Linked DNA regions of Mus musculus: all the other regions are reported to be linked to region 1. The links are microRNA targets in miRTarBase. Many come from high-throughput screens and were not tested one by one. Region 1 holds a microRNA gene; each other region holds the end of a gene's coding sequence.
The links. Region 1 holds the annotated microRNA mmu-miR-17-5p (CAAAGUGCUUACAGUGCAGGUAG, at 3,586-3,608, shown strand). A microRNA usually pairs through its seed, bases 2 to 8, with sites in the 3' UTR of a target mRNA and lowers its output. Matches are read on the target gene's strand: a 7mer-m8 pairs with bases 2 to 8, a 7mer-A1 pairs with bases 2 to 7 and ends in A, and an 8mer does both.

Region 1 (5,072 bases):
AGTGGCATGTGCTTTGCAAAGACTACGAACTGGATTGCTCGAAACCAGTTTGAAATTGCTGCTTGTAGTAGATGTTATGAATTCTCAATTCTTTTAATAAGGTTTCTGAGAATTCTGGAATTTCCTGAACCACAGCATGTAGCAGGGAGTGGGCTTATCTCAGCTCTGGGGTTGTTTACAAGGCACTTTCCGAGCCCTGTGCTCTCTCTCTACCAGAGAGCCCAGACTTCTCGGTGCTGCACTAGGCGAGGGAGGCGGCTCAGGTACTGGTCGCGAAGCTCCGAGCCCAGCACGCGCCCCGTCGCACGCGGCCAGGTTTAAGGAGACTTTCCCGGGAGGAGCTGGACCCCCAAAGGATCCGTGATCTACGGAGATCGGGGGGGGCGACGGTGGGCGAGTGGATGTGACTCGTCTCCCACTCGCGTGGGCCTCCCGATCGGCGGCTACGGGAGAGTGGGCGAGCTGTGGTCACCGGGCGCCTCCGTCGAGTCCCCGGCCAGCGCGGCTGGCGGGAAGCCTGAGCCGCGTGCGCTCGCAGGAGGGTGCGCGGCGCGGGGTCCGCACGCGCGGGGCTGGCTCGGGAGGGCGTGCCGGGGGCGTGGCGCGAGGTGTCCCGGCCCGGAGCCCTGCGCCGAGGGCAGCGGGCGGCAGTGGGCGGACCCCGGGGGACGCGCGGCCCGGGGAAGGCGGCGCGGCGCCACCAGCGGCTCCCCCGGCTCCCGCTCGCCTGGCCGCCAAGAACGAGCCGCCGTGGGCGGGGCCTGCGGTGATTGGCGGGCGGGCGGGGAGGTCGGAAGTACTTTGTTTTTTATGCTAATGAGGGAGTGGGGCTTGTCCGTATTTACGTTGAGGCGGGAGCCGCCGCCCTTCATTCACCCACATGGTCCTTCGAGGTGCCGCCGCCGCCGCCCCGGCCCGCGCCTTCGCGCCACTTCGCGCCCTGCGGCGAGGCCGAGGGGTGGGGACGGTCCCCCACGCCGCCCGTGCCTCTCCACGGAGCCCCGAGCTCGGACCGGGCCGGGCGGGCCACGCCGCACCCCCGGCCTGGGGCCTCGGGCCGGAGTGGCGCGGAGGCTGGCGAAGATGGTGGCGGCTGCTGCGGTGAGTGCGCCCGCCCCGCCGCCGGCTCAGGGAAACCTGTTGTGCGCTAAGCGGAGCGGCGGCGGCGGCGGGACGGGCGGGAGGGCGGGGGCCGCGGGCCGGGTGGGTCTCGGGCCGTTGGGCGCCGGCGTGGGGCGGCCGTCCTGGCGCGCACGCGGGCCGGAGGGGGCCCGAGGGGGCGGCGGCCCGGGCCCCGGAGAGGCCCGCCCGGCGCACACAATGGCCCTCGGGAGGCTTCGCACGAGGCCGGCGGCCGTCCCGGGAGCGGCGGGAGCCGGGCGGGGCGCGCGGCCGCCGTGCGGGGAAAGTTTCTCCCGGGGGCGAGAGTTAAAGCGCCTCCAGAACAAAGCGGCGGCGGCACATGGGGCAGGCCGCGGGCCGGGAGGGGGCGCGCCCACGAGGAACCTGCGCGCGGGCGGCGTGGGCGGGCGGCACTCGGCGTCCCCGAAACTTTGTGCGCGCCGGGCCGGGCTCCGGGACGCGGGAGCTGCGGGGCGACGGGGCCGGGGCGCCACCCCGCGCTCCGCGTGGGCTTTGTGTGCGGCCGCGTGGGCAGCTCCCCTCGCGGGCGAGGCGACCCCTGCGGTCCGCCCGGGCGGCCCGGGACGCCCCGGCCCGCCCTCGGGGCGGCGCGGAGCCCCGGACGGGCGCTGGCTGCGAGCGCGGCGCGGGAGGGCCGGGCGGGTTCGGCAGGAGCGGCGGCCCCGCCGCCATGTTCCTGCGGGGCGGGCTGCGCGCGCCGAGGGCGGGGGGGGGGGGGACATGGCGGCGACTGCGCGCCGCCGCCGATTGTTCCCGGCTTAGGCCTCGGGCCGCGTGCGGCGAGCGCCCTGTCCGCCCCCCTCCCTCCCCCGGAGCCTGGCCGGGGGGCGCGCGGGACACAAAGGACGGCCGGCGTGTCCGGAGCCTCGCCACGCTCGGGCCTCCGCGCCGCCGCTCGCCGCGCAGCCGCCCAGAAACGGGCGGGGGTTGGGGGGGGGGGGGAGTCTCCGCGTCCGGCGCAGCGCGGCCCGGCTCTGACCTGCCGCCCCCTGGCGGCCGCGCGGGGAACCCACAAGGGCCGCCTGCCCCCTTGTGCGACATGTGCTGCCGGCCCGGGCTCCATGAGCGTGGCGGGTACTTGGCAGGATCCCGTGTTCCCGTCCGGTTTTCTCTTGATAAGCTGGCGCGGAGGGGAGAAAACTGGAGAGCGCAGCAGGGCTCGTGGTTCTTAGGTGACCAGAGGGAAGAAAATGAGCAACGTGCCACGAGGATCACAGCAGTTGGGGAAACAACTCTTTATCCCGGCGTGCAGCCACGAGGTCCTGATTGGGGGAGGGGTGGTGAAGACTAGTCCTGGTTGCCCTTTTTCTCTAGCTTGAGCTGGACAGTAGAGTTCAGGCTTGCTGCTACTCATCTTGCAGTATTTCAGGGGCACATTAATTCGTGCACGGATGTGAATCTTGGTGGGTTTTCAACTTTATTTTGTTACAGCGTTTTCCACCCAATACATTGTTGCCCTCAGGACCTTGTGGTCCTGGCTCTCTCTTTTTTTTTTTTTTTTTTTTTTTTTTTGGCAAATGGATAGAATTGCCCCTTAGGAAGATTAAGAGAAGAGCAACTTGGAATGGGGCTCGGAAAGTGGTAGTAATTTTGAGCAAATGTGCTTACCCTTTCTCTGTCTTCACCCCACCCCCAACCCTAGTCATACACGTGGACCTAGCAGCACCCGAAGCATTGCCCAAGGATACTTGCTGAGAAGGAAGTTTGCCTGAGTGGGTGAGTATATTCTAGTTTTGTAGCTAAAACTTCTTTTGAGACCTTTGGTTTTCACTTTTGTCTTTGAGCTTGTACAACATTCTTGGTCTTTTAAGGTATGAAATAAATACAGTTTGAACTCTTGTCATAAATGAGTGAGCCACATTTTAACGTAGTAAATCTACAGTGGCTTTTGGACACTAACCAAATAGTTGTAGACCCTTCAAGTTGGAGTCATAGAGTATTTCTAATTTGGGGTGATACTAAGACTTTTTTATGTTTTATGACTAATAAACTTGAAAATGACTAAACAATAATCATTAATCTTGTCGAGTATCTGACAATGTGGAGGACAGAAGAAAGGGATTGCTGCCTGGTCAATGTGAGGCTTTCCTCTAAAGGTAGTACCAAGTCAGACTGCCTTCCTGATAACAGGTCTCATTTTGTAGGACCCTTATTGTGTGTTTTTTGGGGAAGCCTACTGTAAAAGCCAACATTTTAATGGGATTGTATCTTATATTTCTTTAAGGAGTTTTTTTTTTTTTTTTAAGGCTTACATGTGTCCAATTTGGAACTTCTGGCTATTGGCTCCTCCCCTCCCCCCCTTGGGTATAAGCTGTAATTGATGTTTGTGACAGAATTTAGAGCTTTGGCTTTTTCCTTTTTGTCTAATTATTTATTTCAAATTTAGCAGGAATAAAGTGAACCTCACCTTGGGACTGAAGCTGTGACCAGTCAGAATAATGTCAAAGTGCTTACAGTGCAGGTAGTGATGTGTGCATCTACTGCAGTGAGGGCACTTGTAGCATTATGCTGACAGCTGCCTCGGTGGGAGCCACAGTGGGCGCTGCCTCGGGCGGCACTGGCTGCGTCCAGTCGTCGGTCAGTCGGTCGCGGGGAGGGCCTGCTGGTGCTGCGTGCTTTTTGTTCTAAGGTGCATCTAGTGCAGATAGTGAAGTAGACTAGCATCTACTGCCCTAAGTGCTCCTTCTGGCATAAGAAGTTATGTCCTCATCCAATCCAAGTCAAGCAAGCATGTAGGGGTCTCTCCATAGTTGTGTTTGCAGCCCTCTGTTAGTTTTGCATAGTTGCACTACAAGAAGAATGTAGTTGTGCAAATCTATGCAAAACTGATGGTGGCCTGCTATTTACTTCAAGTGTTGTTTTTTTTTAAACTAATTTTGTATTTTTATTGTGTCGATGTAGAGCCTGCGTGGTGTGTGTGATGTGACAGCTTCTGTAGCACTAAAGTGCTTATAGTGCAGGTAGTGTGTAGCCATCTACTGCATTACGAGCACTTAAAGTACTGCCAGCTGTAGAACTCCAGCCTCGCCTGGCCATCGCCCAGCCAACTGTCCTGTTATTGAGCACTGGTCTATGGTTAGTTTTGCAGGTTTGCATCCAGCTGTATAATATTCTGCTGTGCAAATCCATGCAAAACTGACTGTGGTGGTGAAAAGTCTGTAGAGAAGTAAGGGAAAATCAAACCCCTTTCTACACAGGTTGGGATTTGTCGCAATGCTGTGTTTCTCTGTATGGTATTGCACTTGTCCCGGCCTGTTGAGTTTGGTGGGGATTGTGACCAGAAGATGTGAAAATGACAATATTGCTGAAGATGCCGATTTCCACTGTAAAAATGTTCACGAGCTGATGGAGTGTATGAACACATTCTGTAAACTGTGATTTCTATTGCTTTCGTTGGTGTGTAAAACGGGATTTTTTTAATTGAAATTTGTGTTTTTAAATTGTGGTTTGTTTTTACTGAATCATTTCATTTTCGTGTTTGCTCGCTGGATTTAGTAAGAAGTTGTGTGTGGGGGCTTAGGTGAAGTTAAACTGCCTTTTGAACCTGGTATGACTTCAGGTTTATTTTACTCTAAAACCCATTAACATGAGTTAAGAAAAATGTTACTTTCTTTGGATCTCTGTTTATTAAAGTGTGACAATTCAGATGGAGTGTTTTCTGATAAGATTATTCCTAATCCGTGAGTTCTTAACAGTTAACAGGTGGTGGCCACTCTGTTAATGTGCACACCCTGTAAGAAAGAACTATCCTTGGACTGTTCTTACCATGTGACCCCCTCAAGGGAAAGATGGCAAACTGATGGTCAGTAGAGTGACAGGTACACATGACACTCGAGTGCTGGGTCTGGAGAAGCTGCAGTTAGTATTTAGGATAACAGTATATATAATATATAGTTCTACATTTGGGCAGCACAGTTGGTTTCAGGCTA
Region 2 (5,072 bases), not on the chromosome of region 1:
CTTTTGTGGTGCATCTAAAGACAGCTACAGTGTACTTACAATAATAAATCTTAGGGCCAGAGCGAGCAGGGTCTACTGGAGCAAAGAAGTCCTCAAGTCAATTCCCAACAACCAGATGAAAGTTCATAACTAACTGTACAGCTACAGTGTATAGTCATATACATAAAAAAAAATGGTTCAGAGACCACCCAAGTCTGACTTCAATTAAGAAAAATAAGACCAGGGCTGGTGAGATGGCTCAGTGGGTAAGAGCACCCTACTGCTCTTCCGAAGGTCCAGAGTTCAAATCCCAGCAACCACATGGTGGCTCACAACCATCCGTAACAAGATCTGACTCCCTCTTCTGGAGTGTTTGAAGACAGCTACAGTGTACTTACATATAATAAATAAATAAATCTTAAAAAAAAAGAAAGAAAAATAAGACCAGCCAGGCTTGGTGGCACACGCCTTTAATGCCAGCACTAGGGGAGGCAGAGGCAGGCGAATTTCTGAGTTCGAGGCCAGCCTGGTCTACAAAGTGAGTTCCAGGACAGCAGGGCTATACAGAGAAACCCTGTCTCGAAAAATCAAAAAAAAAAAAAAAAAAAAAAAAAAAAAACACTAAGCAAAGATGGAGATTATTGCCTGAGGTTAAGTGTGAAGATTGGCTAAAAAGGGTGCCTATTAAAGAGTGCTTTTGGTAGTGTTTTAACATATCCCGAAAGCATACTTAAAATCTAATGAGTGATTAGCTAAGTCAGGATCTTGATTTTTTTTTTCCCCTTTTTTTCTTTGAAGTATACTTCTATCAATTGAAACTGCTGTCCTTTTTTTTTTTTTTTGGAGGGGGTGGGGGGTCCGAGACAAGGTTTCTCTGTATAGCCCTGGCTGTCCTGGAACTCATTCGTAGACCAGGCTGGCCTCGAACTTAGAAATCCACCTGACTGCCTCCCAATTGCAGGGATTACAGGTGTGTGCCACCACTGCCTGGCTAAACTGCTGTCTTTTAAAATGGAAAGAATGATTTCCCCACCCCCACCCCGTGCCAAAAAAAAAAAAAATAGAGACGATATCACAGTGTAGCCCTGGCTGCTGAGTGCTAGGATTAAGCTATATACTGTTACACAGCTTCATAATCATATCAATTAAGGGTGTGGCAGTACATTTAAATAGCATCTTCCCATTCCCTCAAAAACTAGAGGGTTTTTTGTTTTTTGCTTTTTAATATAAAGGGCTGGAGAGATGGCACAGTGATTAAGAACGTTTGTTGCTTTTGCAGATTCCCAGTCAGTCCCACATGTAGTTTACGACCATCCATAACTGGTTTCAGAGGACATACATGCAGGCAAAGCCTTCATACACATATAATCTAAGGGGCGGGGCATGGAGGGCATGGAGAGATGGCTTGGTTAAGAGCAAGTCTTTTTGCAGAGAACTAGAGCTCAGTTCTGGGACTCAGATTAGATGGTTCACAGCCATGTGCCAGAGAATCCCAAACACCCTCTCTGGTCACACTCAGATATACAGTCATATACATAATTCAAAGTTAAAAAGATTTAGGAAACAATGTTGGACATATCCTCAAAGGTGTGCATTTTAGCTTATAGAATTGAATTAAAAATAGTTCAAGTAAGGCTAAAACGGGCTAGAGTTTGTATTTCAAATGCAGAACAAAGGGAATTTTGTTCTTAATGGTTAGGTAAGCTAGGATTTGTTTTACATTTTTTCTTTTCTTTTTTCTTTTTTTTTTTTTTTAAGATTTATTTATTTATTATATGTAAGTACACTGTAGCTGTCTTCAGACACTCCAGAAGAGGGCGTCAGATCTTGTTACAGATGGTTGTGAGCCACCATGTGGTTGCTGGGATTTGAGCTCTGGACCTTCGGAAGAGCAGTCGGGTGCTCTTACCCACTGAGCCATCTCACCAGCCCCATTTTTTATTTTCTTAAAAGACTTGTGTGGTATGTATGGATGTTTTGGTTGCATGTCTTTCTGTGTAACTGGTGCCCATAGAGGCCAGGGGAGGGTGTTGTGTCCCCCTGGAACAGTTGGGACAGATGGTTGTGAGTTGCCATGCAGGTGCTGGGATTTGAACCCAGGTCCTCTAGAAGAGCAGTCAGCTCTTAGCCAATGAACCATTACTACTCAACATAAGTTCAGGTCTGTAAGGTTCTATGGTGAGTTCCGTTTTAGGAGTAGCAGAATCTTGTCAAGTTGGACTGTGATAATGTAGATGGATACAGTCTGTTCTTGCGTGCTCCAGATGGGGCTGCACCCAAGGTTCCTGTCAGTTTCATTTGGAACAGTGTCTCCTAGAATCTTCCATCATTACCATGCCCCCAGAGGACCAAGCCTCTCATGAATCCTAGGTCCAATTTTGACTCAACCCTTCAGTCATACATCATATTCTCTTACTAGTTTTTCATGTCACCAAAAATAAGTTTTGAAGATGATGAACAATGTATCCACTTCTGGGTGTTTCCATCTTATGGATGAGATAAGGCTGAGAGCTCAATGAGTGGCTGGAGGCCATTCATTCTCTAACAAATGACTGGCAACAGGTTCAGTCTAGTGCCAGGCCTAGTAAGTACAAGGTTGGTCCTAGTGTATCGATAGGACTTGAGAGGGAAAATATGCAAGTCTATGCTTATTGACATACACAATTCTTAAGTGCATCTCAGGACCCCTTTCCTCAAATCCCATTACGTAGCCTTGGGACTGCAGAGGCTGGGTTTGAATGTAGATAGATAATACTTCCTCCAGAGTGTAGCGCCATACCCAGCACCCAACTTTTACAATGGCAGTAAGGATTTTTGTTTTAAAGAAATGTTCAAGCCGGGCGTGGTGGTGCACGCCTTTAATCCCAGCACTCGTGAGGCAGAGCAGGCAGATTTCTGGTCTACAAAGTGGGTTCCAGGACAGCCAGGGCTATACAGAGAAACCTTGTCTCGAACCTCCCCCACCCCACCCCACCCCCCCCAAAAAAAGAAATGTTCATTGTCCAATTTTAGGGCCTTTGTTTTTATTCCCTCTACATGTCTAATCAGTCTCAACCTATCCACATTAAGTGAGCTAGTTTTTCCACCATTACAAAATGGTGGCACACGCTTTTAATCCCGGCTCTCCGGAGATGAGGGCAGGCAGATCTCAGAGTTCAAAGCCAGTCTTCTGGGTGACTTCTAGGACAGCCAGGGCTGCAGAGAGAAACCCTGCCTTGAAAACCAAGAGGGGGTTGGAAAGAGATGTATGAGATGTATATATGGAACAACTGGTCTCTCTCGTCCCACCCCTCACCTGGGCTGCTCGGGTTCAGGTTCACTGACCAGAGGACCAGTCTCATAGCCCACTTCAACCTCAGATCCCCCCTTTTTAAGACTGCCCATGCCTGTGCTTTTCATAACGCTCTTCTTCCCATCACTTCCAGCCTCTGTGCAGCCTGCTCAGCTGTGCTCTGTGGAGCTGATTAGCATATCAACCTATACCTTCAGATGTTGCAAGCTCCTATACGTTGTGATGATTTTCACTAGTGTTTATTTGGACTTGTTGACCCAGGGTCTCTTTCTACATAGCTCTGATTGTCCTGGAACTCTCTATGTAGACCAGGCTGGGCAACTCACAGATTTGCCAGACTCTGCACCAGAGTTCAAAGGTAGCCTTGTCTACAGAGCTCAGCAATTGAAGATGTAAGCCATTACGACCAGCTTTTTTTAAAAACTGGTTTTCTCAATCCCCCCCCCCCTTCCTTAGTATGCTTCCTAGCCCTCTTAGAATGCCACTTCTAAGAACACAGGGAGGTTACAGGTTTTGTTCTCTGTGCCACAGTACTGTACAGCAGGCATACCATTGTGGATATATACCATCTCCTTGACAATCCTAGCTAACGTTTAGTATAGAAAGGGTTTGTCTTTCTTGAGACAAGCTCTCATGTAGCCTTGGCCGTCCTGGAGCCCAGGGATCTGCCTGCTTCTGCCTCCTGAATGTCGGGAATAAAAATCATGGACTGCCACACATGGCTATAAAATGCCTCTGTATTTTCAAACCCATTTTGAAAATGTAAAATAACCAAATGTGGTAAATGAGTGATTGTCCTATGGAAAATAGTGTGAATAAATTCAAAAAGTCCAAAGTAGTTTAAGTCATGATATTCTTTTATTAGTGCTAGCTCCTTTTAATTTTTATGAGCTAAACAATTTAATATAAAAATGTCATTTCCTGTTCATACAGTATATAAAAAAGTATAGTGGTCTGGTTAGTTTTCAATAGTTTGCTTTTAGCCAGATGTCATATAAGTCTATGACTGTAACAAGTGAGAACAGTATAAATAAGTTCTGTAGTATTTACACTTAAACAGAAACTCTCCCAAATGGTGCCTAAGAAATTAACTTGAGAGTTAAAATGAAACTGATTCAACATTGAGACTTTAATGCTTTGTAAAGTTTCATATTATTGCTATACTAGCTTTGGCTATAATTCTGCATAGTTACTTATAAAGTGTTTCTGCATTTCACATCACAGTAGGAAGTTTTAGCAGTACAAAACAAACACTAGCTCAGAAAAGGCTCCATCCTCCCGAACCTAGTTTTTCTTTGTATCTGGCTTCTTGCTTTTGGGAACAAGGAACACATTGCCATCTCTGGTTTGCTGCAGAGAGTATTCACTGGGAGAGTAAGGCTTTCCATCCTCATCACGTAACATGCTGAAGACTTCAAGATACAAGGTGCTGAGCCGCCTTTTCAGTAGATGGAGGTTTCTGTCGTTTTCTCCCTTTTCTCTGAGTAGTTTTTCTCTCTCGTCTTTTAAGTGGCCCAAGTCTTGCTCCAGCTCGACAATGTTCTCCAGCTTCCTTTTCCTACAGTTCTGGGCGGCGACTTTATTCTTACCTCTCCTGCGTATATCTCGGATCAATGCGAGCTGAGCTTCATTGAATTGCTCCTTGGACATCATTTCATTGAAGTCATCAACAGGGAGGTTAATGATTTTTTCGACAGGGAATGGAATATGGAGAGCTTTTGCCCTAAGCTCATCTCGTGTGAGATGAGCCTCTAAGCGGCTTGAATGTTTGTCTTTTGTGAATGGGGCTTTTTGATGACCA
Region 3 (5,072 bases), not on the chromosome of region 1:
GTGCTCAATGTAATAAATACTCAGGAAGAGGGGAGCATACTTGCCTGTCACAGCTGCCCTAAACTCTACAGTCTTGTGGTCCCCGCCCTGCCCCCAGCCCAGTGGCAGTGCTATCCTGAGGTTGCTCTATTTCTGCTACAGGGGAGCCTCAGGTGGAACAGCAGTAAACAAGCTTTCAGATTCAGTTCATGGACATAGTAGGCCCCAGGCAGTGTTTGTTGAATGAATGCATGAGTGAATGAAGAAGTGGGTTAGGAGTGGCAAGAGCAACCCTAATGCAACCACTCTAAGAAGGTAAGAGCTCTGGGACAGAGCATGTTTGACCAACTGCAGCACAAGATGCTGTGACTCGGCTCAGGCCAAGGACCAAGGCTCAGAACAGGGCTTGAGTCCACCTAACGGAGCAGAGAGGGTTAAATGTGAGCAGCAGAAGGCAAGAACCCAGGGCTCAGGGGTTCTGTATGTCATCCTGACTTCATGCTTATGAACGAGATACAGCCATGTAAACAGCAAGAGCCAAGTGGAACACATCGGCGGATTCGGTTTGATCAAATATGCACAAAAATTTAAGCCACGGGGAGGTAAGTAAATGTCGTGAAATGTCAAGGAACAAGATGCAGAGGCCTGGATTAAAGGAGACAAGAACAGTGTCTCTGCTGGGGCTGATCCTGCCCATGCCTGCATCCTGTCTGGCAGGACACGGGTTCTGACGCTGAGTGCACACCACCTTTGATCTTCACGCTGTCAGCTCTGATGGAAGTCACAGCTCAGTGGTCTGTCTCTGTGAGCTCTCCCCGGATGTGAGCTGAATGCCTGGGACCTAAAGGGATGCTGCTCACTGGCTCAGAGCCTCAGTGCTGCTCATTGGCTCAGAGCCTCAGAGGTTTCATCCGCGGTTCCTGGATCTGATGATCCTGATACGGTGAGGCGGAGCATCACGGCAGCAGGACCATGTGGAGGAGGCCGCTCACCTCATGGCACACAGGAGGCAGAGAGAGGACAAGACAGTCTCAGGAACTAGGTCCTCTGTGGCCTACTTCCTCAAGGACTCACCTCTCAAAGACTCTAGAACCTTTCAAAATAGCCTTCCAAGCCCCAGTACCTCCATGAGCTCCCCAGGAATGCTTTATAAGCAAACCTCAGAGCCAGGTTAGGAAACACTAGAGAAAAGGCAGGCAGGGCAAAGCCTACTTCTCACCCAACGTTGGGACATTAAACACTGTTCACTGAGCCTGCCTCTACAACCAGCAGCAGGTGACCCTGTTTCAGCCTGAGTCTTAGAGGGATAAGAGCTGAATTCACAGCAGCATCTCATACTTCTAAACATTAACTGCCATGTGGTAGGGAGCAAACTTCCTAAGTTCAAGTTGTGGACATCCTTCCTCCTTCCTTGACAAGGTCTCCCTGTGTAGCCCTGGCTGTCCTGGAACTCAGAGACATCAGCCTGCCTCTGCCTCCCTAGCACTGGGATTAAAGGTATACACCACTACTCCTCGCTGGATCATCTCACTATTAAATTTTGCTCTCCAAACATGAGATTTTTGTTTAGGTCTTCTATGGTGCTTTTCAATGTTTTATAAGTATATGTATCTCTTGCACTTTGAAAACACGTAAGTACTCTATTCTTTCTGGCAATAAATAGAATTGTTTTCTTTTTTTAAAGTTTTATTTGTGTGTGTGTGTGTTATTTAGTCTACATGTGTGCCTGTGCACGTGTCTGTACAGTGACCCTAAAGGCCAGAAGAAGCTGTTGGGACATCTGGAACTGGGGTTACTGGTGGTTGTAAGCCACCATGTGGATATTGGCAACCTAAACCGGGTCCTTTGAAACTTTCAGAGTACCCAGTGATTGTAACCACTGAACCACCCACCCCCCAGCCCCTAAGTTGTCTCCTTGACCTCCTGTTCTATGTTGTTCATCAATGATGTACTAAGAACAGCTGATTCTCAGGCCTGGGTGAAGCTCAGCTGGTAGAGTGCTTATCTCGCATGCAGGAAACCTTGGGGGCAAGCCCTAGCACACTGCATAAACTGGGCATGGTACATACCTGTAATCCCAGCACTCGAGGGAGGCAGAGGCAGACCAAATGTTCAGGGCCATCTTCAGCTGCACAAGGAGCTTAAGGCCAGCTTGAGAGACGTGAGATACTGTCTCCAAAAATCAGTCAATGAAAAAAGAAGGAAGCAAGAAAAGCACAGAGGCCAACTTCTGCTCCATTAACTGTGTGCCCAGCAACCTTCCGTTTCCTGGTCCTGCTCAGTTGCCTCACAAGGATATGTAGTGCCACACTGCAGGAGGCTGCTCGCGTGGACAATTTTTGCTCCTTGAGGCTGAGTTTCTTCCTCAGAAAGAGAGGTAAGGGTTAAGCCCCTCTTTCCTTGTTATGCCATCCGTGGCAGAAAATAGCCCCTACCCAACCCCTGGTTTTAATCACAGCCCCACTGAGTTTGGGGCACACCCATGCCACGGGATGCTCCAGCCCCCAGTCCCAGGCTTGACAAGAGATGACCCCACAGCAGAGCAGAACATGAAGTGATGTGGGCAGATTTGGAGTTTATTTGCTGCAGTTCCTTGGAGCTAGTTTACAAGGCAAAAACAAAACAATAATAATAATAATAATATTTTTAAAAACCCTGTCAACAAGTTTCAGTCATTTCTTTGTATTTTGACAAATATTTTTTAAACAAATACAAAATAATCTAAAAGGAGAAAAACTATGTGTGGATTATTTACACCTCTGATAAATAGACTGACACTGAGCCAGGTGCTGGCCTGCCCAGGACACACCTGTGAGAACCGGTGTGAAGGGAGGGCTCTGCACTTGCCTGACTCCCCACACAACCTGGGCAGGCATTGACTGGTTCTGCGGCAGGAGGCTCAGGTTTCCAGCCTGGACCCTTAGCAGTCACTGTCACCTTCACACTCGAGTGTCAAGCACCTGAAGCCTCTTGAGGCCGGATCCTGCTGTATCCCCAGGAGGGGCGAGTGCCGCCCCCTACACCCACCCTTCTCTGCAAAGCTATTTCCAGAGATGTTGACCTCCTTCTGAGATCAGAGAGGCTGAGCTCACACAGCCCAGCGGGGACCCATGGCTCCTCCACCTGCCTGGAGGCAGCATTCTGCCACCAAGGCCTTGGCCACGTGGAGGAGTGTGCCAAGACACCGCCTGCCACCTGCTCTGCCTAGACTGGCATGCTAGCCCTGGCCAAGGAACAGGAGCTGCCCTTGAGAGTCCCTGAGAGAACGGCAGGAGATGCTGCGTTTCATGGCTCCCTTCTCACTGAGTTAGGAGGCCAGGGTTCACTCACATGTGTGCTGTGGTATGCCATGCCATAGAGGGCAGGGGACAAAAAGGCCACCTTACCCTTGCCTGACTGCACTGCAACCTGCTGAGAAAGGCCCCTGCTCCTGGAGGCTACCACAGAGTGCACCAGAATAGTCCAGAATAGGGGCGGCTTTTGAGGCAGAAAAGGCTGAAGCCCCAAGGGGATCAGGTAAGACCTGCTCCTTCCTCTAGAACGAGGAGTGGAGCTCTTGGGGAGGAGAAAGAAAAACCAGCTATGAAACAGTCGCCACCCAGCACCATGGGTGAGCTCCTCACAGTTTTGGTTATTAGGAAAATGCAGACTTTCCACTTTAAAGAGCAGTGGGCCTGGGCACTGAGGGCCAGCAAGGGATTAACCACCTTCACTCTGTCCCCCAGGCACTGGGTGGGAGCTGCCCATACTGCCTGCCTGCTGCCCTGCTGGGGCCCTGAGGCCTCCTGTGTCTGCTAGGCCCTGCCAGCAGTCCTGCTTCTGCCCGTCTTGCCCACACAGTCATGAGGCAGCGGCCCCTGGAGTGCCCGCAGCCCCTGGGGTGCCCGCAGCCCCAGGGCCCCCCTTTTTAGGGGAAGCAGGGCACAGGAGGGCAGAGTACAGTGCTACGTTCACTTTTGCTTTAAAAAAAACAAAAATAAATCTTTATAGTGCGTGGCTTCTCTTCCTTTCCCCCTCTCTCCTTAGTACACAGAGTACATCCTTACAGGCATTCTCGGAGCAGAGGCGAAGGCCCTTGGCCAGGAACACTGAGAGGTAAAGAGCGAGCTCCCTGTGGTGCCTCAGCCCTGCTGAGCTGAGGCTGTGAACCAGCTGCTGGCAGCTGCTGGCTCTGAGAGCGACTCCAGAGCCATGAGGGCAGCCGCAGTCTCCAGCCTATCCCTCGCCGCCCACCCTTCTCCCACTTAGAAAACTGCAAAAGCTGAAGCAAGTCTCTAGGAGCGGAACGGCAGGAACTGGCAGAGAAGCCCTCTGCTCTCCTCTGCTTGGCTCCACAGCGCCCTCAGGGGAGGCAGGAGAAAGGGCCACAGCCTCATGGGCTGGCCATGCCCTGGTGCCCCCTCAGTGTCTCTTTGTGGAGGAGACCTTCTTTTTCCGTGCTGCAAGCATCTCGTAGAAAGGGTCTCTGCTGATGGCAGCCCTGGAGCACAGAGAAGGAGAGAGCAGGCATGAGGGCAGGTCAGCCGGTGCCACCCCAGGAGTCTGTGCTGCCAGCTTTCACCAGGAACACCCACCCTCACTCTGTCTACAGGACAGCTTCAGGTGACACATGGGGACATGTAACAAAGTAACTGGGGTTTCTGCCTTCTTCCCACTAACACGACTTAACACTTGAGAGTAGAACCACTGTGTGTTCCTCAGCTGTGACTGTCTTCCGCAGCCCTGAGTGCTGTACTGTAACACATGCCACAAGTCATTCCACACATGGTGTTCAAGAGGCTGCCGTGGACTGCACAGGGACTTCTGGGAGCCTACGGCTGCTGCTGGGGCCCTGCTGCCTCTCCAGCCTGGTGAGGGAGGGTGCACTTGCCTGCACTAGACAGTGGCTGTGGGTAGGGTCACAGAGCTGCCGCTTGGTCTTCTAGGGAAGCAGGACTTGGGTTTGGTTATTTCTGGTGGGCCACTGTGACCTGGAGCCTCCACAGCACATACTTTCAAGTCTTCTCTTCTTTCTCTCTTTCTCCTCCCCACTCTTTCTTTATGTGTGTGTCTGTGTGTGGGGGAGGGGCAGGGGGTGCTGTCTGAGCTGTAGT
Region 4 (5,072 bases), not on the chromosome of region 1:
TATCACAAGAAAGAAAAATGGTCACTCAAGATAGGAAGACACAGTAACATTCTTTATCTGATTTCACTTTGAGACTTAACATGAGCTGTTCATCCCTGGGTCCTTTTGAAAAGGTATAAAATGCTTTCAGAAGCAATTTTGTAAAAACGAAACAGCACCAATATGTTTATTTTTAAAATATATATCTATTTCCCTATTTGTTGATATGCATGTGGGTCTTTTGCTTGCATGTATGTCTGTGCACTGTGTGCATGCCTGATGCCTACAGAGGCTAGCAGACAGTATCAAATTTCCCAAGTGATAAGTCGTTGTCAAGGGCTGGAGAAATGGCTCAGTGGTTAAGAGCACTGACTGCTCTTCCAGAGGTCCTGAGTTCAACTCCCAGCAACCACATGGTGGCTCACAACCATCTGTAATGGGCATCCGATGCCCTCTTCTGGTGTGTCTGAAGAGAGCTACGGTTTACTCATATACATAAAATAAATAAATAAATACATTTTCAAAAATAAATAAATAGACAGTTGTAGATTTCCATGTGGGTTCTGGGAATCAAAGCCAGGTCCTCTGGAAGAGCAGCCAGTGATCTTAACCGTGGGGCCATCCCTTCAGCCTCCATAGTCAATATTTTCTAGAAAACCTTAACAACTGTCTGATTGTTTTCCAGCTTAAAAAGCTTAGGCAATTTCTTCAAATTATTTGAAGAAAGATACAAACAAGTGACACCTGAATTGACTCTTCCTCATTGGTGTGTTTTCTCTCCCCACCCCAATCCCCTCAACCCAGCATTGACATGAAGCTGAAGGAGAAGCCGTAGCTGGCCTGCTGGAGGAGGACTCCCTTTCTGCTTGGTGATTTTGCTGGGACGTACCTACCTGGAAGCAACAGGGATGGTGACATCTCCACTTTGCACCACCTGGTGCCATTGGAAACTTTCAAGGAAAAGAGAATTTGTTTACTGTTAACATATCCTATGAAATGTTGTGTCTTTTCCTATTTTGCCAATTACGTGCCTCAATGATTTTAGTTGAACCTTAGCAACTAAACCTTCCGTTTAGTTTTATGGACCTTCCATTTTTACTATTATGCTAATCTTCGGTGCAGTGGGACTTGGTTCCTTAGACTGGTTTTTACCAAAAGCATAGCCTAGTTCTGCTGTTAGACAGATGTGGATATGTTTCTGTAGACTGACTGAATCCCTACAGAGCTTCCTTCTAGATTCAGGATGCACAGGGCTTGCCTTGTCCCAGGAACATGGCTTTCTGGAACTCTATGAAATGCTGAACTTGAATAGGACAGACAGACAGATATAAAATCCTCATCAGCTAAGGCATCTGCCCCCTTCCTGTCCACATCTTTCAGTTTTTCAAAAGGACCCGGGCTTTCTAACCCATGCAAGCTTTACTTTATATTTCTGCATGTAAATTGCTCTTTTACAACATCATCTTCTAGTGAGCTTTGAAGAACTGCATCTTGTGAAACTTAAGACGAGCTATGCTTCAGGCCACAGAACAGGCTCCAACCTTTACACTTCGTCCAACTCCAAGGTGGCCCACTGAGAAATCACTGGGTAACATCGAATCGTCCAAAATTAACACTCAGATGCATTGCAAAAGCAATCTGCTTGAGGAAGTTTAAAATTAAATACAAGTATATACTAGCCTTTATGAAATAGCTCATTTCTTGTTTTTTATATGCCCCTAAATTGTTACGGCAATTTCCAGTCTGTGGATCTCCAGCAGAGGTTGGCAAGCTGTACCGAGGAGGCTAAGGCTCCAAAGCAAGAGAAGGTGGCTTCCACACTTACAGTTGAAAACAAAAATTACCACTTAACTGTCTGAAGCTTCTTTTACTCATTCTCCACCAGAACTGAACAGTGACAACAGACAGTTCTTCACAAAGCCAGAACACTATCTTTACAGGAGAAAAAACAAAGTGTGCTGACCCCTACGAGACCAAATATCCATTCCCTCCCTGGTCTCCCTGCTCTGAGTATTTATTTAAATGCTTTCCCCAACTGAGTACACAGAGGTGGTTGTAATCTCATTTGGTTTTGTCAAAAACATTTTTATTTTCTTTCAAGGCAGGATCTCACCATGTAGCCCAAATTGGCCTAGAACTCACTATGTAGACCAAGTCAGCCTCAAAGTTGTGGCAATCCGCCTGCCTTAGCCTCCCAAGTGCAGGTATTATTATAGGCTTGCACCATCATATCTGGACTTGTAAAGAAAATTTCGACATTTACAGACAGTGAAACATCACCTGTGGCCTACTGAGAAAAGCGATGGGTCTTTCTCACAAAAGTGTGGCTCTCTTAAAGCATGGGATTGCTAGACTCAAACTGAAAATGTCCGAAAACTCTTTAGACTCACTCACTCTTCAAAGTCATCCGTTACCAAGCAGCTGGCAAGACAGGCCCTGCCTGGTGGCTTTGTAGGAGAGCTGCAGACACTCTGAGCCCTGAAGAAGTCTCCTCAACAGGGAGGCTTCTTAGCCCAGGTGCCAGAGGTCTTCTGACTTTATCTGCTTCATGTCTGTTTCCAATCTGTCTTCCGTACAAGCTCACACAATATACGTGAGCCGGTCGGTTCCCTTCCCTTCATAAAGCTCCATTATTTACTTTCACCTGTTGATCCTGTTCAACTTAGTTTTTTTTACCTTTGTCTTTTTTTCAATCTCCCTTCTCTCTCTCTCTCTTTTTTTTTTTTTTTTTTTTTTTTTTTTTTTTTTTTTGCTAATTCGATAGAAAAACCTCAGAATCATCTAGGCTCCCACAGCCTGCCCTGCCCTTTGGAAGCCCACCTCAAACATCATGGTGATAGGAATATAGTTACCCAATATCCTGATTCGCTCACCTGCTTAACATATTAACTCCTTTATATTCCATTCTGGAAGATGAATTTCACATTTCCCCTAGCCATGTTAAACTTATGTTGTTGTGAGAACTGCAGAGTTTGGCTCAGCAGATCTGTAGACATGGGACTCTTTTCATAACCAACCAGACATGGCAACAGGCAAACAGGCACACCATTCACACTTTCTCTGAGTCTGTGTATGGAAAATGACTCACTCGTGTGGCATGGCAAAGTAAATTTAATGTGAGCAGTTTCACGTCAATGATATTTGGAAAATCCTATGGGCTGTAATACCATTACAATATTTAAGCACATGTTATCTTACTATCTTCAAAAAACAAGTTACTTTAATTGCATGTGCTAGAGAAAAGCTATCATGCTCATCAAATGAATAGGCTTCTAGGGAATTCTGGGAAAATAGCCCATAAACAGGTAGATGTAACTCTCACGTCGCTCAGCTGTAGCGCCTGCACCCTGGGCATTCTTGCTTTGGTCTGGACTGCCAGGACCTGCTTTGCACTTTTTCCTGTAGATTTGTAGTTAAGGGAACACCGAGGGGTCATTGAGGCAGGAGTGGTGTTCACTCTGAGTTCCAGCTAGTACTTAGCTGGATTTTGACTAAGGCTGAAACAAAAACCTTCACAGAAGGTAGTTGTTGAAGAGTGAGAACAACTGGGGGTGGAGGAAGACCCCAAAGTTCCTATTGAAGCCATACAGTGTTATATAAGGTTCCTCCCTAGGGCATACTGATGAGCAAAGAGGCCACCCTCCCTAGCACACATCCTTAGGATGTAACTTTGAGAGTCCCTTCATGGTTCTGCACAACCCTTGTCTTATCACTATGCCCCAGTGGTCTGCTACTTTAGGAATATCTAGGTGTGCACAAACTTAACCTTTTCTATATCTAAAGAGTTTTCTACGTGTATCGGATTGCTCAGAATAAAGTATATATTAGACGAGTTTTGGTAAAGAAATAAATTCTATCTGGATAGTATGGTTTAAAAATATGAAAATATGTTAAGAACACAATGTATTGCTATACCCTTACTGTGTAATTCAGAAATAAAAATAGATTCCACACATTGTGGTTTCCTCTTTCAACTCAGTGAAACTCTCTGTGGCTTCCCTTAGCAGGAACATGATATGCTGGCCACTTGCCACAGGCAAAAGCAGTGTGCATTTGACTTGCCTGGCCATCGAAACCCTATTGTTTTCTGTCTAATTCTACCTTTCATGTCTTGGAGGCTTTTGCACTGTACTTTTAAAATGGACCATTTACTCTTTGGAACTGTCCCCTCATTTCGTGGTTACTTGATTGTGACTTTTTCTGTCACTTGCCTATTCGTGACATATTTATTTTTAAAGTAAAGCATACTAAGGGCTGGGGAAGAGGGGGTAGAGTTCCGTGGTGAAACACGCACTTGGAATGAGCAAGGTTCTGTGTCTAATCCCCAGCAAAACACACACATGCGTGTGAGCACACACATACATACATATGCACATACACACACATATACACACCCATTCACACATGCACACACGTGCACATACATACGCATACATGCACATACACACAGGAACATACACACATACACATATGCACATGCACACATGCACACGTGCGTGCACGCACACACATACACATACACACAGGAGGGTGTCATTTTAACCTCAACTGTCTTTGTTTCCCTTTTTGTTTTCTGGAGTCTTTGTTGAACTTTCATAGCCTTTAGGCAAAAACAGAGTTAGAAACCATCACTGTAATTGTTTTTAACTAAATAAGACTCACCTGGGGAGCCATCCCATTTACAATCACCAAATCCAGACACTGTTGTTGATGCCAACAAGTGCTTGCTGACAGGAGCCTGGATATAGCTGTCTCCTGAGAGGCTCTGCCAGTGTCTGACAAATACAGAAGTGGATGCTCACAGCCATCCATTGAACTGAGCATAGGGTTCCCAATGAAGGAGCTAGAGAAAGTACCCAAGGAGCTGAAGGGGTTTACAACCCCATAGGAGGAACAACAATATGACCTAGCCATTACCCCCAGAGCTCCCTGGGACTAAACCACCAACCAAAGAGCACACATGGTGGGACTCATGGATCCAGCTGCATATGCAGCAGAGGATGGCCTAGTGGGACAACAGTGGGAGGAGAGGCCCTTTGTCCTATGAAGGCTGTATTACCCAGTGTGGGGGGATGCCAGGGCCAGGAAGCAGG
Region 5 (5,072 bases), not on the chromosome of region 1:
CCAACACTAGCCTGTGGTGTGCAAGGCCAAGGGGTCCATTGCAAGTCCAGAGAGCTACAAAATTCCTCAGAATCCCAGGAAAGCAGCCGCCACCTCTGGATTCTGGAAAAGTCAAATAGATGCTGCTACAGAAGAGACCCTTAAGCAGGCAACTGCCTCTAGAGGCCTGGGGGGAGGGGCGAGGTGCAGATTAACACTCCCTCCAAAGACCACAGACACAGTGGGCCAGGAGTGAGGGATGGATGCAATGACAGGTGCATGTGTGCAGAAATGTAGTGCATGCCTCTAAATCTGCATGTGAGCCTGTGTACACTCACATGAGTGTAACAATATCTCTGTGTCTGTCTGGCTTACATGTAGTGGAAATGCATATGCATGTATTTATGTATGTGTGTATACGTGTGTGTGTGTGTGTGTGCACTTGCAGATTGTGGAAGCTCCTGGACTCCACTCTGGCTACACTGAAGGTTTCCTAGAAGGGACAAGCCAGTTTGCAGGGAAGGGAGACAGGCTGACGGGTGATGTGAACACTCTTTGGGTCTTCCAGCCACATTAACTGAAAACTGACTTGGGTGTGAGAGTGCTCCATGGCAGAAAAGCATTCTACAGAGGGAAAGAGATTGCATCCATTGTCCAGCCCAGAACCCAGAGAACAAGGCAGGATAGAAAGTAGGAAGGGATAACCCAGGCTGGTAGGTGGGTACCAGACCATCTGTGGGGACACAAAGTCTCCAGATAGGGCATCTGGAAACAGCAGTTGGAAAAGTTGGTGAGGCAGACAGGCGGGCAGCCGTGACCTCAGAGCAGGGATACAAAGCTGTCAGGAGACAATAAGCATCCATAGATGGTGAATCCCAAGGGCCATGGCCCTTGAGAAATCAAATCCTGAAGATTCAGAAAAGTTATCTTTGGCATGACAGTGTGGCCTAAGGATCATGGCTTTGTGGGAGCCACCCGCACTGTGGCTATCCGGGTGCTGCTGGCTCAGCCTGGAGGCCACGCTGAACTGTTCTCACACAGAGTGCTGTCAAATAATAACTGCTTCCAAGGATTATGAGGGTGGGATTCTGACATGTGATGTTTACCAATTTCCTTGGCGTCGAGCCTCTACGTGGTCAGATTCAAGGCACCATGGTACAAGCTGGCTCCCAGAATTCCTGAAAACTTAATGACGGCCATTATGATCTAACTATGACAATCAGTTGTCTAGCTAGTTGAAGATGCCCTCCCAGCTGTGAGGACCTGCAGACAGATGTTGACACGGTCGTGAGGGATGGGTGTCGGCTAGAATTGAAGATGACAGAATCCCAATCAGCTTTCCTGCACAAAAAGTTTTATTGAGGGCTCACAGAGAGGCTGGGAGAGGACAGAATCAGGTTCGGGGCTGAGCTTCCAAGAAAGGCAACATAGAAGCCATCCTAGGAGCCTAGTCCTAGTCCTGAGAGCTGCCACAGGCTCAGAACATTCCATCTCAGTCTGTGACTTACCACCCCTCAACCTCTAACCCCACCCAAGGATTTCAATTTAAACCGTGTCTTAGGCAATCACATGTAACTAGTGGGAGGGAAAGTGCCCAAAGGAGCCAGTGGGTGGGACCTGGGATGATAGGTTTATACTGATGGGGGTGAGGATGGGGCAGGACACTGAGCCATGTGGCAAAAATAAAAACAACAAAAAAAAACCCCGCCCACTGTGCCTGAGGAACACTCAAGTCGGGGTGGGGTGGGGGTGGAGATGCGCAGAGTAGGGGAGGACTGACCCAGAGTCCTGGAGATCTAGAGGGTCTGTGCAGAGTTGGGGGAGGAGAATATCTCATTCAAGGAGAGAAGGAAGGTGAAGCTGGTGGAAGCAGGTGGGATCCAGGGAGAAAGACAGTTTCAATGCAACCATCCACATCTGCAAGTCTCCAGCAGAGGCTCCAGCCTCATACACTTAGCCTGTGAGTTGGTCATGGGAAGGAAGGGAAGGGTATCTATATACATGAATGAATGACATGGAATGGGACGACAGGGAGATAAGACTCTGAGGCAGCAGGGTTGGAAGCTTGGATGAGCAGGAGAGTGCTGAGGTCTCTGAGGTCCTCCTTATAGGAGGACAGGGCATGCTCTCTCCAGGGTCCATACTCTCCTGAGTCTCCCATCTCCTCTTTCCAGCAAGGGCTGAGCAGGAGCTGTATAGATGTGCAACCAGGTAGGGCTAAGCCCTAGGTTAAGAGCAGCAAGCCTGGCAGTGGGTTGAGCAGCCTGGGACGGAGCCCTACCTACACCGGTGTATCTAAAAGACCCAATAGGGTGTTTCTGGGACAAGAGCAGCTACAGACTTCACCACCAGGCCTCCACCCATGTTCTTTTTTGACCTGGTTTTGTCGATGGGACAGACATGCTGGATAGTGGCAAGCTCCAGAAACAGGGTCCCTCTACTGAGTAGGATGGTAGAAAGGCCGCAGGGGCCAGCTACCTCCCAACTTGTGCCCCTGCCTGGAAGCAGCTACCGTCCCCACCACATGGTAATAGGAATGCAAGCCATACCCTCTGCACTGGCACCTCCCAGAGTATGTGTCAGGCTAGAGGTGTCCCTGTCCATGGGACATACATAGATAGCTACTTCAGCACTGCCACAGCACCAGGGTGGTACCTGGTCCTTAATCCAAGCCCTCAGCTCTGGCTTTTTTTTGTTTGTTTGTTTGGTTTGGTTTGGTTTTTTCGAGACAGGGTTTCTCTGTGTAGCCCTGGCTGTTCTGGAACTCACTCTGTAGACCAGGCTGGCCTTGAACTCAGAAATCTGCCTGCCTCTGCCTCTCAAGTGCTGGGATTAAAGGCGTGCGCCACCACTGCCTGGCTCAGCTCTGGCTTTTTAACCTCTTTTCCTTGGCACAGCACCCTCCAGGGTCCAAATCATACAGCCCTCAGCACCTGCCTCCTCTGAACACTTAACTGGGTACTGGGTATTGAGCATGTCTGTGCCAATGGGGGCCAGGCAGCATCACAACGTTGACTGGTGTCCCTAAGGAGGCTGCTTCGAGGTTCCAATTCTCATGGGAATGGGAATGGTCCTACTAGCTCCGCCAGGGTCTGACCCTGAAGACAGTGTAGCTTGGCCCAGGGCTGTGGAAGAATAGTGGACAGCTTGGGAGCTCATCCAGGGCTCTGTTCACCCTGCAGATGCCAGGCATGGTGGCCCCACGGTCACCATGTAGGTGTGGGCATTCAGCAGTGGGGAAAGTCTGGAATTCATGAGTGTTTTTCTCTTCCATATACTTTTGCAGCTGACAGCCATGTAGCCTCAGGCAAGTGTGTCACATGGTGACAGAACTGTGGGTCACACTGACGGTAAGGACCAAGTCAGGCCAGGCCCCCAACATAGTCTCACCTTGCCCCTGCAGATCACAAGAAAATTCCCAGCACACACAGAAGCCACATTCAATTTCTGCTCAGAGCGGCATCTAGACCCTATACTCAGCACACACACACACACACACACACACACACACACACACAGACACACACACTATGCTCATTTACTTCTCCCAGATACTCGATGACGACATAGCTTAGGGTATAAACACTTATACAAAAGGACAGTAAATAACAAAACTGGAAGTCAAGTCTAGTTAGGTGGCTAGAACATCTACCCCTGAAGATGAAGTAATTACAGGTAAGAAAGTTGATCAGTGAGCTCTGGGATTTCAGCGAGGTGAAGAGAAGGTTCTTGTTGCTAGAGAAAAGCAGTTCCTGTTGACTGGCATGGCAACCTCAAACTTCAGTCCCTCCTCTTTCTGAAAAAACAGCTGCTTTAGATATTGGCAGTAGAAAGCAAGGCACAAGAGCCACCGAGGTTGACAGGTTTCCACTGCCCAGGAATGGATAGAAGTGGCAGAAGCTGAGGCAGCCCATAAGTGGTCTAGCAGCTGACACGGCCATGGTGAGCCCATGCTGGACCTTTCTCACGTTTCTCCATTTTCTCCCTCTCGATGGACTGACATTTTGGCACAAGGGCAACTAAAGAACTCCCAGGACAAAGGTCAGAGCAGACCAGTGCAGGCTGGACTTTGCACTGACCTCTCTGGAAAGGTCTAGATTGCCGGTACTTTGCTCTGGGAAAGGGCAAACATCTCTGTGTTCAGATGTACTGGGAGAGCAGGGGTAAACAGAAATGAGCCATTCCCCGGTGGCAAAACTGCTGGCGCCATCCTCCCTGCCAGGGCCCCCATCCTTGCGTGCACAAGTATTTACTTCCCACAGCATGGTGTGGGAAAGGGAGGTTGGCAGATCAGACGGCTCACAGACCTATACCACAAACAGCCTGGGTTTAAGTGGCAGCTGAAGCCAGCCTTGGCAAGGAGTTCCGTTTCTCTCGACCTCCATTTACCTACCCATTAAGATGGGCAAACCCCCCTCCCCCCGCTACAGTGTTAGGCAGTGGCTGCAGGGACCAAATACCAACTATGAAAGTGCTTTTTTGGGCTGAACAGCTGCAATGCACCTCCCTGGGGACACAAGAGCACCATCACCTCCACCTGCTGCAGAAAGACAGGGTAGCCAGGCTCAGTGGCCCACCGGAGGTGGGTGCTAGGGCACAGGGCTAAGAGGCTCCTTGGAGACTGGAGCACTAGGCAGGGACTTCAGGTACTCCAGGTGTCGTCTGGCATCCTCCTGGTTGTGGCGTACGTAGTACACTACGTAGGCAATCACCATGGTAAACCAGCCGAACATGGTGACCAGCATGGCGACATCGGTGGTCTTCCGGTGGGTACTGCAGAAGCTGGCACCTGAGTCCAGGACCTGGATCAGCGGCTTGCCCACAAACTGCTCCTGCGCTGAGGTGTGGCAGGCAATTTCATCCACGGAGTCCGGGTCCAGCTTTAGTTCCCACAGGGCCTCCTGCAGGGCACACTCACAGTGCAGTGGATTGTGGGACAGGCGGATCTTGGCACTCAACTTGCCCAGGGCGTCCTTTGGAATTCTTCGGATGCGATTGTGGGATAAGTCCAGCAGCCGCAGGCCCCCAGCCAGACCTGAGAAGGCTGCTGGCCCAATGGCCTCAATGGCATTATGGGACAGGTCCAGCTCCCT
Region 6 (5,072 bases), not on the chromosome of region 1:
TACTGCGATATGCTAAGTGTCACTTTGGGGGACAAAATGCTGAAGGGAGAGCATGAGCATGAGTGGCAGGTGCCTGTCTTTACACCGGGGCACCGACCCTGTCTGTCTGTGCTAATCTCAGGAGAGAAGCCTTTCATCTGTGAAATCTGCGGCAAAAGCTTCACCAGCCGACCCAACATGAAGAGGCACCGCAGAACTCACACAGGCGAGAAGCCCTACCCCTGCGATGTGTGCGGTCAGCGGTTCCGCTTTTCCAACATGCTGAAGGCCCACAAGGAGAAGTGCTTCCGAGTGACCAGCCCAGTGAATGTGCCGCCAGCTGTCCAGATCCCACTGGCCTCAGCTCCAGCTGCTCCCGCTCCGGCCGTGGCCAACACTCCCACCAGCCCAGCCCCTGCAGTCAGTATGAGCCCCGTGGGTGCTGTGCTTCCCTCGAGACCCGTCCCGCACCCTTTCTCACACCTGCACATACACACGCATCCACACCACGCGCACCACCTCCCCATCCCTCCTGTGCCTCACCTGCCCCCACCCCCAGCCCTCTTCAAGAGTGAACCCCTAAACCACAGAAGCCAGAGCGAGGACACCTTTCTGAGACACCTGGCAGAGAAGAACAGTGCGGCCCCCGCCCAGCACCATTAGCCCTAGCCAGTGCCGTCCCCACGGTGAGCTGGCAGAAGGGACGCAGCCGTACTTCTCTGGGGTCTGCCTGACTCCACGGCCTCCTTCAGGGCCTTCACCGTTGTCCTGGTGAGCCCTCAGACTGGCCTGACGGAGTGAAGACGACGACTGCCCTTGAAACCAGGGGAACCACCGAACTAAAGCCCAATTTGCTTGCATTTTCTGATGACTTTTATAAATTTCAGATACTGTGACTGTGGGATTTTATAATTTCATATCAGCGGATGAGGTATGCTTGCTTTTATATCTCGGTCTTCTCCTCAGAGAGGGGTGGGCCTGTTTCCTTTATACTGATCGGGAAGGCTGTGAGGTTAGTCCAGAGCATTAACTATATCACTGTGTACTGCAATGAATTCGGTTCAGCTTTTGGTGCTGGCTGCAGAGTCGAGCTGGCTGCGTTTCACACAATATCAAGCATTATAGAGAAGATGGGAATTTTCTTCTTTGTGTAGCTCTTTTAACACACTCTTTATTTTACTACAGAAATTATTTTAGAGTTTTTGTATAGACTTTAGTAGTCTGTTTCTAAAATGAGATGTATTTCAATAAGCTGTGTAATTTTTTCAGTGTAGCTAAACCCATGTTGTAAAATAGATAAATTTTTATAATCATCAAAATGTGATTCTCAAAGATGCATATAATAACTTCTATCTCAACTATTCTTACATCCATACAACTCAAAGGTGCTTCTGTGACTGGATGTATCTGAGCGGGTCACCAGACCAGGTACAAAAGCAAGGTTCAGTACAAAGTTAGTCAATGAATTGGATGTCTCTGCTGGGCATTCAGTCCATTGGGCTCACTGACACAGCCAGTGTTGGTGTCCCTTTGAGTACTCTATGGATTCAGTGGGGTGGTGTGAGGGAATGGGGTCACTCAGAGTTAGCGGGGCTTGCAAATGTGAATGACATTTGTGAATGCCCTCGGGAGAAAGTGACGGAGGTCGTTTCCTTGGATCACGTCTGTTTCTCACTTTCTTAGAAACTGTGTTGTGCGCAGCTGTTAGGGGAAGATGGATTGGAATCTCTTACTTTGAGGCTCCTGTGTTTTCCAAGAGTGTTAGAAGAAGCTAATAGGGTGAACTGAAATCACAAACGTAATTGCTGGTAGTGACCAAGAAATGTGGATGGGAAGGCAAGTTGACTTTTAAGTTTTAAGATGCCTGCAGTCTCTAAAACGTGGATGTCCACACTGACTGGTATCTGCCATTAAAAATGTAGTGAGAGGAAACCCCCAATACTGTTGCCTGCCCTCTCCAGAGGAGGGAGACCGCAGCATCTTAGGTGAGGAAGGAACAGTGCCCTTGTCTCTCGAGCGGCAGCTTACTCGGTCAACATTTGGGGAACTTAAACAGAGCGTGGTCACCCTGGAGTGGATATACGGAAGGCCAGAGAGAAGGGCTAACATGGTGGTTTCAGTCAGCTGACAGGTGTGCACGGCACAGCTCCTACGCATTCTGTGCTGCTCTTCTCAGAGGCTGAGTTCCAAGAATGGCCTCTGCCTCCCACCTCTCTCCTCCTCGTCTCTCTATCCTCAGGCTCTTAAATCAGACCCTTAGCTGTTATTTATTTATCTTTGATATTAAATGTGCAGTTATGCGTTGTGCACTTTTTCCTGGCTACTTAACTCTGCAGTGGGGACACACGGACTCTGGACTGAGGTTAGGTTCCTGCTTTTAAAGTATCATACTCTAAATTAGTTTTTTTGGTTTACTATTTCTAGATTTTTCTCCAGTTTTGCCCTTGTCTTCTGTAAACATAGGAAACATTGTGTGTGGAGTCAGGAAAGTCTCTCAGGACACACTTTCCCTCCAGCTTCTAGCTATGAATTTTAATGAATGGTATTTGTAATATTTGCATGCATTCTTGCAGCCCTCACAAACCCGAGGCAAACAAGGAAGCAGGTTCCTTTTCTGAATGTCGTGACTTAGAAGTCACCCCTACCCCATTTACCTCCACAGTCTCCTCTGCAGCTTATGGGAAGTCTGCAAATCCACCTTCCATGTAGACAGATCCATATCTCACGGCTAAACCTATAATATTCAAGTATTTTTATCAAAAAAGGTATAATTTGTAGCTAAGTTAATAATTGGTTATACCTTATTTTATACTAAATGCTTTTACAATATGAGGCAGACATTCTGAATTCTAGTCTTGAGGCTGTTGAATTACAACCATTTGATGGTTATACTATGAATATTCATTGAAAAATTCAGGTTGTCAGTTCTGACTTTATTCAAATGACTATAGCCATAAGAAACTGTCCTCTACATAGGAAACCCAATAGCGAGTCAGTAAGCATCACTATCCTTAACAGAAGCAGAAAAAAGAATTTAAAATAGTGACTTAGGCCTACCACACTCTGTCATTCTTACTCAAATGTGAAACAGTGTAGAAATGGCAATATATTTTTTTTTTCTAGAGAAGTTTATCTTCCCTGACTTGAGAAGCCTGCTCTAAAAAATGGCTCTCAAAAGTGTACGACTAATGGGCATATGTATAATGAGATCTATACAGAAATGCTTCGGAGTCAGAAACCACAGGGTCACGCCTTAAACATGCAGGTACCTCAGCTGTCACGTGCTGAAGACTCAGACTCAGGGTTGACAGTGTACTTGGGGAAGAGCTGCAGTGTGTGCTGTGCTGGCCCACATGTGCTGCAGCGCCCCAGGAGTTCTACAGTACCTGTTACATTCTTGTTACCTGTCCATGGAAAAAGACCCGTGGAAGAGTTGGAGTTCTAGGCTTGTATCTTTACTGTTGTCTCGTAACACGTTACATTTCAGAATAACAGATTTTAAGTCAAGGCTTTCTCTTTACACCATTCTATCTTCAAAGGCTTTGTTGTGGCAAGGATTACTTAGTTACAAGTAGACCAGGCTAGCCTTGAATTCACAGCCTGAGTGCTGGGTCTACAGGAGGGAACCACAACCGGCCCCTCCCCCAAGAGTTTTGTTGTTGTTGGGGTTCTTGTTTTGCTTTTTTTGAGAAAGGGTCTCTCACTAAATACCTACGCTAAGCTGAACTCCCCAGTGGATACGGTCATGGTTACCTCAAACCCATGACTCCCTCACCTCAGCTTCCCAAATGCTGGGCTCGTTGTACCTGCTCCCCCCGCCTGGCTTCCACAGCGATGTTTCTGTGTTGGTATTACGTTGTTTTGGGTTGAGTCATGCATCACTTGCTTTCTTCTCATGGATTTATCATTTGGATACAAACTTTTTTAGCCTAATTCATTAGGCTAATTCATTAGGCTGCTGCTCTCAAACTGAGTCAGGCTCAGACTGGGTTAGGTTTTAAAACTGAAGGAAAAGAAGATTTAAAGGCACGTGGCTTCATTTTATTTTATTTGTATATTATTTTGACTTGATTCTTATTTTTAGCAAATGGAGAAGTCTCCACATAAAACTTTAATAAAGTTTAAAGAAACCTTTGTAAATCATTGCCAGGTACTGTCTTAGTAACCCTCAGCCTTAGGCCTCACCACGGGCCTTTCCAGAGTTGTCCAGTCTGAGAACCTCATCTGTTGACAGTATCCTTCTGAGCTAGCCCCCACCCCATACAGCCCACCCCACAACCTCACCCCGTCTAACCAGAGGCAAAAATCTTTGAAGTTTGGAATTTTTAACTTCTTGAAAATCTTTTTCAGTTTTATGATTGTTGAGTGGATGTGGATGTGTGTTTAGTTTCATTTTTATTTCCCTAGAAGATTTAAATTTTGAGACTATGAAGCAGAGAAAGAACTCCACTGCGGAGGCGTGTGTGTGTGTGTGTGTGTGTGTGTGTGTACACATGTGCACATACTCATGAATGCACACATCTATATGGATCTAGTCCCTCTTGGAGGTTTGGTTAGGAAAACACACTAGAGTAGGTGAGCTTTTTGTATTTAAAGAGAGAAAAACTAAAACTTCCATTAAAAGAACCCCTCTGTTTAAGTCAAAGGCGCCCCCTTTGTTTAAGCTACTGTATGAAAAATACCACTTTTGTTACTTTGATGGTCCACATGCTAGAGATTTTGATGCTGTTCCGCATGTGTAGCATGCCATGAGAAGAGAGAGTATGTTAGAGCTAACCATTTTATCAACTAAAAAAAAATCAGCTGGGATTCTTAAACTTCTAACCCTGAGCAAAGAGTCACCAGGTTTAAGGTTTTTCTCTACTTAAAACCAAGGTAGAAAATTCCCAGGAGTTCTCGCTCTCTCCATTTTTTTTTTTTCTTTTTCAGGAATAAAGGGTCATAAGCCATTAGAAACAGTGGCATTGTTATGCAATAACAGCTCACTAGCTAACCTACAGTCTTGGGAAGCAATGCTGACCTTCCAACCCGGAACTACCTCGCTAAAGCAGCCCAGAGGTCCCCACTGCACTCTCTGTGGAAGCCATAAAAGT

Region 2: the mRNA of Nfe2l2 is a reported target of mmu-miR-17-5p. Seed matches in the 3' UTR shown: 7mer-A1 at 4,468-4,474.
Region 3: miRTarBase lists Cyth1 as a target of mmu-miR-17-5p. The part of its 3' UTR that is shown has no 7-base or 8-base seed match.
Region 4: the mRNA of Prune2 is a reported target of mmu-miR-17-5p. Seed matches in the 3' UTR shown: 7mer-m8 at 3,369-3,375.
Region 5: the mRNA of Lrrc3 is a reported target of mmu-miR-17-5p. Seed matches in the 3' UTR shown: 7mer-m8 at 4,448-4,454 and 7mer-m8 at 1,567-1,573.
Region 6: miRTarBase lists Zfp652 as a target of mmu-miR-17-5p. The part of its 3' UTR that is shown has no 7-base or 8-base seed match.

Annotation. Positions count from the first base shown.
Region 1 is chr14:115,040,099-115,045,170 of GRCm38, forward strand. Mir17 (microRNA 17) reads left to right here and starts at 3,573; the gene lies at 3,573-3,656. It overlaps Mir18 (microRNA 18), which reads left to right and starts at 3,753; the gene lies at 3,753-3,848. Mir19a (microRNA 19a) reads left to right here and starts at 3,902; the gene lies at 3,902-3,983. It overlaps Mir20a (microRNA 20a), which reads left to right and starts at 4,059; the gene lies at 4,059-4,165. It also overlaps Mir19b-1, Mir17hg and Mir92-1.
Region 2 is chr2:75,671,406-75,676,477 of GRCm38, forward strand. It overlaps Nfe2l2 (nuclear factor, erythroid derived 2, like 2), which reads right to left. Exons shown (of 5, transcript NM_010902.4): 5 at 4,108-5,072. The coding sequence ends at 4,556. Among named protein-coding and RNA genes, the nearest start is that of Hnrnpa3, 15 kb to the left of the region's middle.
Region 3 is chr11:118,161,636-118,166,707 of GRCm38, forward strand. Cyth1 (cytohesin 1) reads right to left here. Exons shown (of 14, transcript NM_011180.4): 14 at 2,535-4,459. The coding sequence ends at 4,381. Among named protein-coding and RNA genes, the nearest start is that of Gm38514, 26 kb to the left of the region's middle.
Region 4 is chr19:17,220,001-17,225,072 of GRCm38, forward strand. It overlaps Prune2 (prune homolog 2), which reads left to right. Exons shown (of 20, transcript NM_181348.4): 20 at 784-3,932. The coding sequence ends at 814. Among named protein-coding and RNA genes, the nearest start is that of Gcnt1, 130 kb to the right of the region's middle.
Region 5 is chr10:77,896,259-77,901,330 of GRCm38, forward strand. Lrrc3 (leucine rich repeat containing 3) reads right to left here. Exons shown (of 2, transcript NM_145152.4): 2 at 1,317-5,072. The coding sequence ends at 4,569. Among named protein-coding and RNA genes, the nearest start is that of Lrrc3, 3.7 kb to the right of the region's middle.
Region 6 is chr11:95,763,418-95,768,489 of GRCm38, forward strand. Zfp652 (zinc finger protein 652) reads left to right here. Exons shown (of 5, transcript NM_201609.2): 5 at 122-1,298. The coding sequence ends at 642. Among named protein-coding and RNA genes, the nearest start is that of Gm38957, 11 kb to the right of the region's middle.